3 linked regions of the Coturnix japonica genome follow. The protein of the gene in region 2 interacts with the protein of the main gene of each other region in a pairwise test. Links are inferred from orthologs where the notes say so. Each region holds a gene or a part of one and is shown on either strand. Other genes may lie near its edges. The genes, in order: PKP3, CTNNA3 and JUP.

Region 1 (3,645 bases), on a different chromosome or scaffold from region 2:
TGAGGCTCCCTCCATTTCCTTCATCCTCCCAGGTGTGCCCCACCATATCAGAGGGGCTCAGGAGACCCTTCCCCTCTAGTGCCTACCTGCTTCTTGGCATTACTGTCACTGTAGCACTTGTGCTGGAGGTAGGCAGCACCCAGGACTTGTAGGTTGGGGTCACTGGCTATCAGGTATTTCACCGCTGAGGGCAGGTCAATGTCATCAAACCTGGAAGCCACATGAAAGGAAAGACACCCCCAAAGGTCTTCCATCTCTGCTCCCCACCACAACCCACATTTCAAAAGAGACATGCCAACCCATCTCCCTCCTCATCACACTCCTCCTGGCTTAGCAGGCACCTTCCCACCTCTACATCTCAGGATGGTTTTACATTAGGACCTAAAAGCATATGCAGGACACACTTAAAGATGAACTCACACCACACTCCATGACGGTGAGGCCAAATTATGCCAACCACCTCACTTCTCCTCCTCCTTCCCTTGCAGACAAGCAACAACCAGGGAGTTTAATCCTAAACCAGCCAAGTGACTCATGAGAACAAGGGACAGGGCTGGTTGGCACTCACCCTCCTGACTGCTGTGTGAGCAGCGTGCTGTGCCCGTTGTAAATATCCATGGCGCGCTGGTCCTGGAGGTGGTGGCTGGACTCAGCCAGGCTGCGCACAGAGGGTGCACGGGAGCTGTGCTCCACCATGCCCATGTAGGAACTCCCAACAGGTGCCTGTGAGGACGGCTGGATGCTGCCAAAGGAGCTGGTGCTGAGCCGTGAGCGGTTGTTGCTCTGGAAGCGCTGGAGCGTGCGCATGGCTGGTGCCCGAATGGTGCGGCTCTGGGGCACCTCTCCGCCATCCAACCAGTCGGAGCCCTTTGCATTGGAACCAGTGCTCATCCGCCTCTCAAAGGTGTACGAGCGGCTGAAGCCACCATTGCCTTGGTTTTTATAGAGGGACTGGTGCCCCATGGGGTCCAGCTGCTCTGAGATGATACTGTAGCGGTCATCCGCAGCACTGGGAGGCAGTGGCCCATCAGCCAGTCGCAGGGAGCGCAGCGACAGCGTGTCAAAGCTCTGCCGGGCCCGGTAGTTGCGCTCATGGAAGGAGTTGGGCCGTGGGGAGGTGTTGGCAGCCTGTGACATGGCATAGCCCACGCCGTAGCTCCGGCCCTTCGGCATGACCCCGTTGCTGACAGTTGCCATCCTCTTGTTTGGCGTGAGGTCCACAGCTGACCGCGATGACCAGCTGCTGCCCTTGAGTGTGCCAAAGTCTTTTTTGGCCATGGGTTGGTACAGCTAGGGGGGAAGCATGGGGTTAAGGGAGGGTGAACACAGACATTCCTTCATCCTCACCACAGGAAAAGGAAAGGACAGAGCCAAAACCATCCAAGCTCCCCCATAAGACTTGCACTCCAGACCCCCTCACCAGATTCATTACCCTTCTCTGACATGCCTCAGGGCCTCTATGTGTTTCTCATAGTAAGGGACCAAACAACCAACACAATACTCATGGCGTAACCTCACCAGAACTGAGTACAAGGGGACAGTCGCCTCCTGCTCCTGCTGGCTGTGCTACTGCTGATACAAACTATTGGCCCTCTTGCCTACCTGGGCACAATGCTGGTTCACATTCAGTCACTGTCAACTAAATCCCAGATGCTTTTCTCCCACGCAGCATTCCACTGCCCCAAGCCTGTAGCACTGCCGGGGGTTGTTGTGCAGGTTGAAGTGCAGAACACAACACTTGGTCTTGTTGAACTTCCACCCATTGATCCAGCCTTTCCAGATCCATCTATAGGGCCTTTCTACCTTCACGTAAGTCAACACTAAGCTGTCTATCAACACTAGGCTGTCTAAGCCATCCCCAGCTAGCACAGAGATGTGTGCTTGGTTCAGACATACCGAGCTTTTGGAGTCCAAGCCATTGGTCTGTGAGCGGGAGCTAAAGGAGGAGCGCACAGTCGTGCCATATGGACCACCTGCAGGATGGAGATGGGAGATAACACACTGGTCTGTGCAAGCTGGGATAAACACTGGGATAAACCCTGCTGCCCTCAGGGGGGTGGATAGGGGGCTGAGAGCCAGAGTGCTCAAGAAGGGCCTTCCTTACAGCCATGGGGTATAGGAAGGGGCTGTGGAGGGGGCAGCACGCCTTCCACAGCTTCTCCACCTTACAAGGATGCTCCAATGGCGAGAGCAGTAATTGCTAGCTTGGTGGGGGCTCAACACAGCTCCCTTTGACCTTACTCAGCTGGGACAGGGGCTCAGGGGGCCAGCCACGCTCTGCTGCAAGGCTTACTTGTGTCCTAGCCCCACTGGGTTACTGCCACCTGGATGCCACCACAGCAGGGACAGCTAAAGGTTGGGGACATCCACATTGGGGTGCATGGTGCCGGGGGGGCTCTCTCATCATTAGGGCGCAGCTAGAGGCGCAATGGGGCGAATGAACAGGGCGGAGGCCGTGAGCTCAGATGTTAAATGGAGGCACTTGGAGAACAGCCAGCAAGGCGAGACAGCGCCGAGAGCCCAGGGAAGGAGCCAACGAGAGCGGCCCAAAGTGGGGCATGGGGTCCCAGTACCCTCATGGGGTAAAGTGAGGCTTGGGGACAAGCAGCCCAGGCTGAAGCAAGCGTAGGAAGCCCCCATTTGGATCAAAGGAAGACGGGAACCCCCCACCCGCAGAGAGCCGCCCCGCCATCTCCCACCTCTGCTATCCATGGGGTCAAGCGTGGCGGTGTCGGGGTGCGAGGCGGCCGTCTGTCCCCGCAGCATCATGCGGATCCGGACCTGCTCCTGGACGCGAGCATTGCGCAGCCGCTGGGCCTCAGCTGCTTCTCGGCCGCGAATGTCCAGCTGGCGATCTGAAGGCAAAGCCAGTGAGCAAACACCGGCTTCAGGCTGCAGGGCCGACAGCAAGAAGGCATTAGTCTCCTGCATGACGGCGGAGGGGCTGAGCAGAGCACGGCCGCCCTATGCAGGTGTGTGTGTGTATGTGTGCGTGTGCGCGGCGGTGGAGCCTTCCCTGTGCTGTAGGGAGGCACCCGGCCCGCCCCGCCGCCGCCACGCCTCAGTGCCGCGCACACCTGAGCAGACATGGGGGCAACGCAGGCCCCCCTCAAGGCCAAAGGAGCCCCATGGGGTGCCCACAGACACAGTGATGGGAGCTGGATACACTGTTGGGGCTGGATCCCCCACAGACCCCAAAAGACCCAAGGATACAAAAGCCCCAGGCCTCCGTGTGGCCTCCGAGTTGACCTCTGGACCACCGCGTGGCCTCTCCTGACAGCCTGCCTGAGGCTTAACCTGCACATCAACACCCAAAACCCTCTGCAGCCTCCATTTGACCCCCGCCCTCCACACGGACCCCTAGTGAGCAACAGGCACCAACAACCTCCCCCAGACTCCCACGTGGCTTCACCTGCATCTCTAGACCCCCCTTGGAAAGCCCCACATCCCTCCATTTATCACCCAGACTCACTGCCCATTGACCCCTAGAGCCCTTAGACCTCCAAGAGGCCCCCAGCCAACACCAGGCAGTCTCCCTGATAAAGCCCTACGCCACGTCCTACAAGAGCCCACCACCACTGTTAGGGCGCGATGGCTGGGCCCTCCCTGCTTTGCTTTCCAAATCAGTTGGGATTTACCAAAGAA
Region 2 (3,669 bases):
TGGCCCATGGAAGTTCATTCTGCTACATTGGAAACCCAACTAGTACATCATAACAATTTTTTTTTTTTTTTTTTTTTTTCCCATTCTGGAAATTATTTTTTCATGTATCATCTAAAGGATTAAGGAAAAATACAGTCACTATTTTTGTTGCTTTTATAAAATCTGATTTACTCTCCCTGTACTGACTCAGTAGAGCTATTAAATAATTATATAATAAATAAGAATTTAAGATCAAATAATAAAACATTCTATTACACACTCTCAGCAGTGCCTTATGTCTTAGAAATCTCAGGTGTCATGTGCATGTATTTTACAAATACTCATCCATTCTGCTTTGTATTAATACATTTTTCTTTTCTTTTTTTTTTTTTTTTTTGAAGGCAATGGGCCTTTGCATTTAATGAAATTGATAGGCTGTTATGCTCTGTTTGCCAGTGGAGAATAACATACAACAGAAAGAAAACAAATTTGGTGCCAAAAGATTCAGTTAGAGCCTCATGAATCCTTCTGCTGTCCAGTTCAGAAGCTGGTCTGAGTCACTGCCTTGAGACAGAATCTGGCATGAGACCAGAATGTATGGGAAAACAATAGCCTTGCTGAATATTATAAATAAGCACTAGAAAAATGAGTAATGGAGTATTTCATGTCATTTAATTGTTCAAAATCAATTTTAATAAAGGCTTTTAATTTTTTTCTTTCTTCTTTTTTTTTTTTTTTCTTTTTATTAAATATCTAAATATCTGTGTAGCTGTGCTCTTGTATATAGCTTTAAGGCTGCCCATCCCCCTGCCACCATTCCAGCAGCCATTGTGTCCTGTCAGTCATCCTGAAATACACTAGAGTGCTTGTCAGGCAGTCCCTTGCAGATGCTTCAGAAGCCAAATAGTGAGCCAAATCAGTTGCACTGAAGCTCCCTAACACAAGGATATAACATAGGCAGTTGCTTTAGTGCTGAATATGGACCGTTTGTATTCTAGCATAGGTGAGTGATGTGCTGTTAGCTTTCTACTGACTTAGCAGGAAATGGATTCTAAACTTCTCTAATTTCTGCAGAATATCTTTGGCTCGGCTTTCTAATGCTAACTGGTTGGTCTGTGTCTGCATACAGTTTACTTTCACATTGATCTAAGAAAGTGCAGGTACTGTGCTCAACTGTCTTGCAAACTGTTGGAAACTATTTTTCATAGTAATATTTTTCTTAGTCCATAGCACTCAGTATTCTCAGTTTGGACACATCTGCTGACAGGACAAGTTCTTATTTTAAGTTTGCAGCACTTGTAGAAGAGTGCAGGTAGTTGCTTTACTGGATGTTTGGAGACAGAAGAACTGTATCTGGTGACACGTGCTTAACGTCCTAAGTGCTGTAAAAGTTCCCCGTCTACAGTGCTGAAATTGCCTACTGTAAAGGTTAATATAACCAAGTGTGAGGTTAAAGCAGCCTTTTAACAAAAAATCTTGCAGTCAAGATCTGTACTGTATTTACAGGGCATGTTCTTATGGGAGTAGGTATATGCATGTCAAAAGTAAACAAAAATAACAGCAAACAAACAAAAACAAGTAAAAAAGTCCTCCAAACTGTGATTTTTAAAAAAAAATTTTATATTTTTTCCCCCCATATTTTGAGGAAGATATGAAATTATCTAAAAATCTCTCCCCTTAATTAAGAAGAGGAAATGTCAGGAAAAGGTCCAGAATCATTTTTTACTGCCTGCGTATTTTTCCTTGCCACCCTCTTGTCTCTATAATACTGTAATACTTGTCTCTATTAAAAACAAAGAAACAGAGATCAACCCCAAGAACCTTTTATTACTAATATGATAAAGGATACTGACAAGAGTCTGGTAAGTTAAAGAAGTGGTAATGGTGTCAAAATAATATAAAATTTTGCATTTTCACTGCATTTGTTTGCAAGTGTATTTTCCTATTCTGTCTGCTTAAAAAGAACATTGTAATTATACTTGTGAGAAAACAAACAAAACTCCCAAACATCTACAATTTATAACAAAGTCTTTAGGTAGGTTATCTATACCTTAGAATATAATTTAAATTTTCAGGAACAATAAAGCAAAATTTGCCATTGATTTTCAATTAATGCTAATTTATTGGCTTGACCTAAGGCAAAAAACTATTGTAGATTTCAGAAACCTGAGTGAGCACTGGAGCAAAGAGTAAAAATATCTGCATTAGACAACGTGCTAAGGTTTAAAAACCTACAAACACAGGGAAGATGAATTCTCTGCTCATGGAGGTTTTTCTGATTTAAAAAAAAAAAAAAAAGAATTGAATTTGTAACACAGTATAAATTTGAGATGGTTCAGTGGGAAAGATCTAATCACTGTAGACGATATGTAGTATAGGAAGGTGGGCTGAGAGAAAGCAGGAAGCTCTTGCTGCAAGCAGCAAAGGTCTCATATTTGAACTTTGAGTGAAATGGCTAGTAATGCCCTTCTGCCAGTGAATCGAGTGGAAGCCTCTACAAATTTAAAGTATGGCTATATGTGAAGAAAAAATAACCTGACAATCTTGTGATTTTTTTTCAAATCTCAGTAGAAGCACTAAGTGTTGTTTTCAGCCAACCTACTTCCTTTCATCTGATTTTTAACAGGTCCAAAAGGAATTCACAGTAGAATCAATGTAATCTATTTGCATTTGTTGTGATGTATTTTAAAAAAAAACCTCACATACTGGGAAGTTTCTGCAAATTATGTCAAACACAAGAATTGTGAACCAGCAGTGTAATTAAAAATCTCAAGTCTTATTAAATCTACTTAATGGCTACAGTGAGGTGGTAGGAGTGAGAGACAAGATCTGTATGTTTGCTTGAGGGTTTGACTACATGACCTCCAGAGTTCCTTTTCAACTGTATGATTCTGTGCTTCTGTAAATAGAACTTTATCATGAGGAAGGATATGCAGCGGTTTGAGCTAGGAGAAGAGCTGCAGCTCCTTCAACTAGGAGACAACTGAATTTTTGTACTGCTGAAGAAGGAGAGGGATAAGTTACATTGTTGTCTTTAAGAACACTGGGAGCAGTCTACTTGATGATTCACTGAACAGAAAGAGAACCACTGACATGACTAATTTTTGGTGGCCCAAATTTTATTTCCTTGGCTTTTGTTACAGATGTCTAAGAAACAAATGTGTAGAACATGGTGAAATGATTTGCAGTGACATTTCAAAAGTTGTCTTTTTTTAAAAAAAAGTTATATGGAAGGAAAACTGAAGTTGTCTGTTTCATGTCAGGGCTGTTCACTTTTTATCTGTTGACTTGTAAATAGAATTAAAACTGAAGAATCAGTTCTTTCCATATATTCTCACCTGATTATGAGCAACTGAATCTGTGGAAACTTAGGGCTCTAGCAAGTGTATTTTATAATGAAGCAATAAATTTAACACTTGTATCACCTTTATTGGTGATATTAAGTTTGGTAAAATCTTGAAGTACTTCTAACATTAATTCTTTAATTATCATTCATGCTATCATTGCCTGCAAGTGGAATGTGGATATCTATTATAAGACAAACAACTTGGTATAGAAAGCTTAAACCTACTGCGTAGTATTAGATCAATGCTAGGTTCACCAGGAGGTTACAATATATCCCTTCAGCCTGCACAATCGAGCTACCTTATTACTTTATTATACAGCATCAATGGTTGTAATAAGTCCTGC
Region 3 (3,747 bases), on a different chromosome or scaffold from region 2:
CCCTGACGGAGCAGGATGGTGGTGGCCGAGTGGTGCCATTCTGGGGCCTCCAGGCTGCAGGCTCTTGCTCCATGCACGGGAACACGGGTTCACTGGGAAGGGCTGATCCTGCCCAGTGCTCCCAGCAGAACTGCCCCATCTACAGGGACATGCTGCCATAATTCCCATCCGAGGAGCAGCCGCACCACTGTGCCACCACCTGCCTGGTGCCCCCTGAGCCCCCCCAGCCCCGATGTCCCTGGGAGCCCCATAGTAGCGCTCCATAGCAGCACTGAGATTTGCTGTGCCCCTTCATTGCTCCCCCAGGAGCCACTGACCAGGGGGCCAACAGCAAACCCCTGTGCTGCCTTATGGGTTCTGTGCACGGTGCTGGTTCTGGCAGCAGCCCACCCCCACCGGCAGCTCCCAGAGCCGCCCCTTCCCCCCGTCTCGGTGCTGGGTGCTGCTCCTGGTGCACGGCATCCCTGTGCCACTGTACCCCGTCACCACCTCTGCCCCACAAGTGCCTTCATCTCTCTCCCAGCAGCCCCCAGAGCTTTAAGCTCCATTAATTTAATACTTCCCATCTCGCTTTTATATTTTTCGCTCGTTTATTTTGTATTTTAAACGTTCTGGTGCTGAACTTGGAATAAAACTCGGTCCGCTCTTTTGACGGCCGCCTCTGCCCGGAGCAAATCGGGACGGACACAAGTGCCATGAAAGACCATCTGGGGGGGGGTCGGTCGGGTCGGGACCCCCAGGCCGGGCGGTGGGTGCTGGGCGGCCGCTGGTGCAGCCACGGCGCTGCTTTGTGCCTGGCGGCCGTCGAGCTGTTGGCAGCACGAGGCTCCGCCGGGACTTGGCTGCGGTGACTGAAACCGAGAGGCTGAATCACGGCGTGAGCCGCGGGCGAGGGAAGGGACGGGATGGGGCGGGACGGGACGGGATGGGACGGGATGGGGTGGGATATTATGGGATGGGATGGGATGGGATGGGATACAATTGGATGTAATGGGATGGGGACAGAATAGGATATAGAATGGGATGGGGAGGGGTGGGATGGGATGGGATATTATGGGATATTATGGGATATTATGGGATGGGGTGGGATGGGCGCTGCCGCTCCCCGCCCTGCTCCAGCTGCGTGTCTCCCCCGCTCCGACCCGCAGTGCCGCCCCCCGCCCCCCCTCCATTTACCCCCCTCCATTTTCCCCCCCTCCATTTTCCCCCCGTTGTCCCGACCCGGTTCGGTCCCGTTCGAACCCTCCCGGCTCCGCCCCGTGACGTCACCCAGGTGGGCCCTCGGTGCGCTCACGCCCTTCCCCACCCGCCCTCGCCCCGCCCCCGCCCCGCCCCGCCGCCCAATCAGCTCCCGGCGCGCGGGGGGCGGTCTCCTCCCCGCCAATGGCGAGCGGATAAACACGGGGAGGGGGCGGGGCCCGGTCAGCAGCGGCGAAGACGGACGGGAAGAAGAACCAATGGCAAGCGGGCAGCGCTGTGAGGGGCGGGGCCAGGCGGGGCGGGGCGCCGTTCGCCTTTTGTTCGTGCGGGAGCGGGGCGGGCGGCAGAGCTGCGGGAACCGGGAGAGGTGAGAGACGGGGGGGGCGGGCGGGGGGCGAGGGGGGGGGGCCTGGGCTGGGGGGTCCCGGCATCGAGGGGCTCCGGGCTCCGCGCGGTGTCGGGCTGTTACCGCCCCCCCCCCCCGGGGCAGCGCCGCGCCCGGCTGCGCTCATCCCGTCCGACCGGTCCCGAGCAGCCCCGGGGCTGCGCTCACCGCCGGGCTCGGTTCGGTTCGGCCCAACCGGCCCCGTGCGGTTCCGGTGCTGCCGCTGGGCGCTGCCCCGGGTGGTTGTTCCGGCGGAGCCGCTCACCTGCCCCGAGCAGCCCCGGGGAGCGGGACGGGCTGCGGGAGGGGAACGGGGACGGGGGGGTTAATGAAGCGGCTCCTGTTCATCCCGCCGCGCTGACACCGAACGTCGGGGCAGCGGAACTGAGCGGGGAGCGACCGGCTCGTATCGTCGTCACGTTCTCGTTGCGTTCGCTGGGTGATTAGTTTAATTAATCGGCGCAGATTAAAGCACGACGCGGGGCCGCTGCTGGGAGTTGCCCGCGGAGGAAGGCGTGGGTTGTGCGCGGGGGGACGCGGTGGGAGCGTGGGCGGCTCCCGGGGCGCAGCCCGGGCCGGGACGGAGCCGTGCTGACCTCAGCGCTGTCCCCGCGTCCTGCCGTGCCCTCCCCGGTGCTGGTATCCCCGGGCCCCCCCTGTCCCCGCTCCGGGGCTGTCCCTGCTCCGTCCCTTCTCTGTCCCTGCTCCGTCCCCTTCCCACCCGCAGTTTGGTCCGTCGGTGGGGGGCGCGGATCCCCTCCCGTGTCCTTGTGGGCGTGCGGCGGGGCAGTGTGCGGAGCGGAGCAGCCATTAAGGTCCTTCCACCTCCGAAGGCCGTAATTGTTCACCGCTTTGGAGGATTTCCACAAAGTGGTTTGAAAAACCCATTTGGCAGCGAACTCGGCTTTAACAGGTGGGCACAGGACGCGCCTGCGCAAAGCCCGGGTGGCGGTGGCCGGGGGTCGTTTTATCCCCGGTTCTGGTGCCGCTCGCTGGGCGATGAGGAGCTGCTGGGGGGGGCTGAGCTGCAGCTGCCCGACTCCGGCGGTGGGGAAGCGCTGGCGGAAGCGTGGGGGGGGCTGCAGGCCGCCCCAACCCCCCCCGCCCCCACAAACAATGGCTCCCATTCCATTGTCTGGTGCTGCAGCCACTCCCCTGGGGACAGCGGGGATGCCGGCATGAAGCACCTCGTGCCCCGTCCACATGTGGGTCCCCGTGGGCTGTGCCGTTGGCACCACTGCCCGTGGTTTGTTCACACCTGGAGACCACGGAGCGTTTCGCCTCTGAGCTGTACATGAAGGTCGGGTGCTGCCCTCCTCCTCCTGGGAATCCTTCCTTGTTCCCCCATCAGACCCCCAGCCGGTTGGGGGGTGCAGTTGGCAGCCCGCAGGGAGGAGCTGCGCTGTGGGGCTGCAGTACAGGGTCTGCATGGGGAGCTCACAGGGCTCTAATTGAGGTGTCTGTACCACAGCTCATGCTGCTCCTGAAATTTGAAATTAGGCTGGCTTCTAATTAGCAGGAGTTAAAAAGAAGTTTCATTTCTATTGAAGCACTGCAAGTCTGCCTTGGACTTCTTGTGGCACAGTTGCCAGCTCTGACTCTTGTTTTAGGTGGTGTTTTCCCACCTCGGTGCTTTAGGGCTGTGCCTGGGATAGGCAGCAAATGGGGTCTGGGTGGCAGCTGTGGGTCCCAGTTGGTCTCCTGGGACCTGGGGTGTCCCCCACGGGGCTGTGCCCTGCTGGCAGCGCCTGGCTCGCAGTCAGCCCTGGAGGATGCAGCACTTGAGCTGATGCAGCATTTCCAGCTCCACCAGGGTTGGGTTTACCCCGTTTCCCAGGGACAGGGTTGGGTGTTTGGGGATGGAGCAGGCACGCTGTCTGTGCATGGGAGAGGCTGCCAAAGAAGTCTTAAAACTTGACCTAAGCAGCTTAAAAACACATCTGTGCTTACAGTGCTGCTGGCCAGAGCTGAGCTGCAGAGTGCTCCAAAGCTGCATCCTGTGCTGCCAGCTCAAGGACGGCCCAGCACAGCCCTGGATGCCACGCTTGGCGTGTTGCTGCCTGCTCTGCTCAGTGCTCCCGAGGCCCACATGCTGCAGGGGTGGTGCAGTGCACCCAAAGCTTTGGGGTCCAGTGGTGGGGGGGGCAATGCTGTGTGTGCTT

The links.
Region 1: the proteins of CTNNA3 (region 2) and PKP3 interact in a two-hybrid assay, tested with the Homo sapiens proteins (2 studies listed by IntAct). The link is inferred for Coturnix japonica from reciprocal best matches to the Homo sapiens genes CTNNA3 and PKP3.
Region 3: the proteins of CTNNA3 (region 2) and JUP interact in binary tests that used the Homo sapiens proteins (3 or more experiments, as listed by UniProt). The link is inferred for Coturnix japonica from reciprocal best matches to the Homo sapiens genes CTNNA3 and JUP.

Annotation. Positions count from the first base shown.
Region 1 is NC_029520.1:1,340,186-1,343,830, forward strand, and holds part of PKP3 (plakophilin-3), read right to left. Parts: exon of another isoform or gene 2,932-3,645; coding exon of another isoform or gene 2,893-2,931; coding exon 2,700-2,892; intron 1,974-2,699; coding exon 1,897-1,973; intron 1,291-1,896; coding exon 569-1,290; intron 211-568; coding exon 87-210; intron 1-86. UniProt on the Homo sapiens protein: A component of desmosome cell-cell junctions which are required for positive regulation of cellular adhesion. Required for the localization of DSG2, DSP and PKP2 to mature desmosome junctions.
Region 2 is NC_029521.1:8,414,822-8,418,490, reverse strand, and holds the start of CTNNA3 (catenin alpha-3), read left to right. Parts: upstream 1-851; 5' UTR 852-957; coding exon 958-982; intron 983-3,669. UniProt on the Homo sapiens protein: May be involved in formation of stretch-resistant cell-cell adhesion complexes.
Region 3 is NC_029542.1:4,306,080-4,309,826, reverse strand, and holds the start of JUP (junction plakoglobin), read left to right. Parts: upstream 1-1,469; 5' UTR 1,470-1,567; intron 1,568-3,747. UniProt on the Homo sapiens protein: Common junctional plaque protein. The membrane-associated plaques are architectural elements in an important strategic position to influence the arrangement and function of both the cytoskeleton and the cells within the tissue.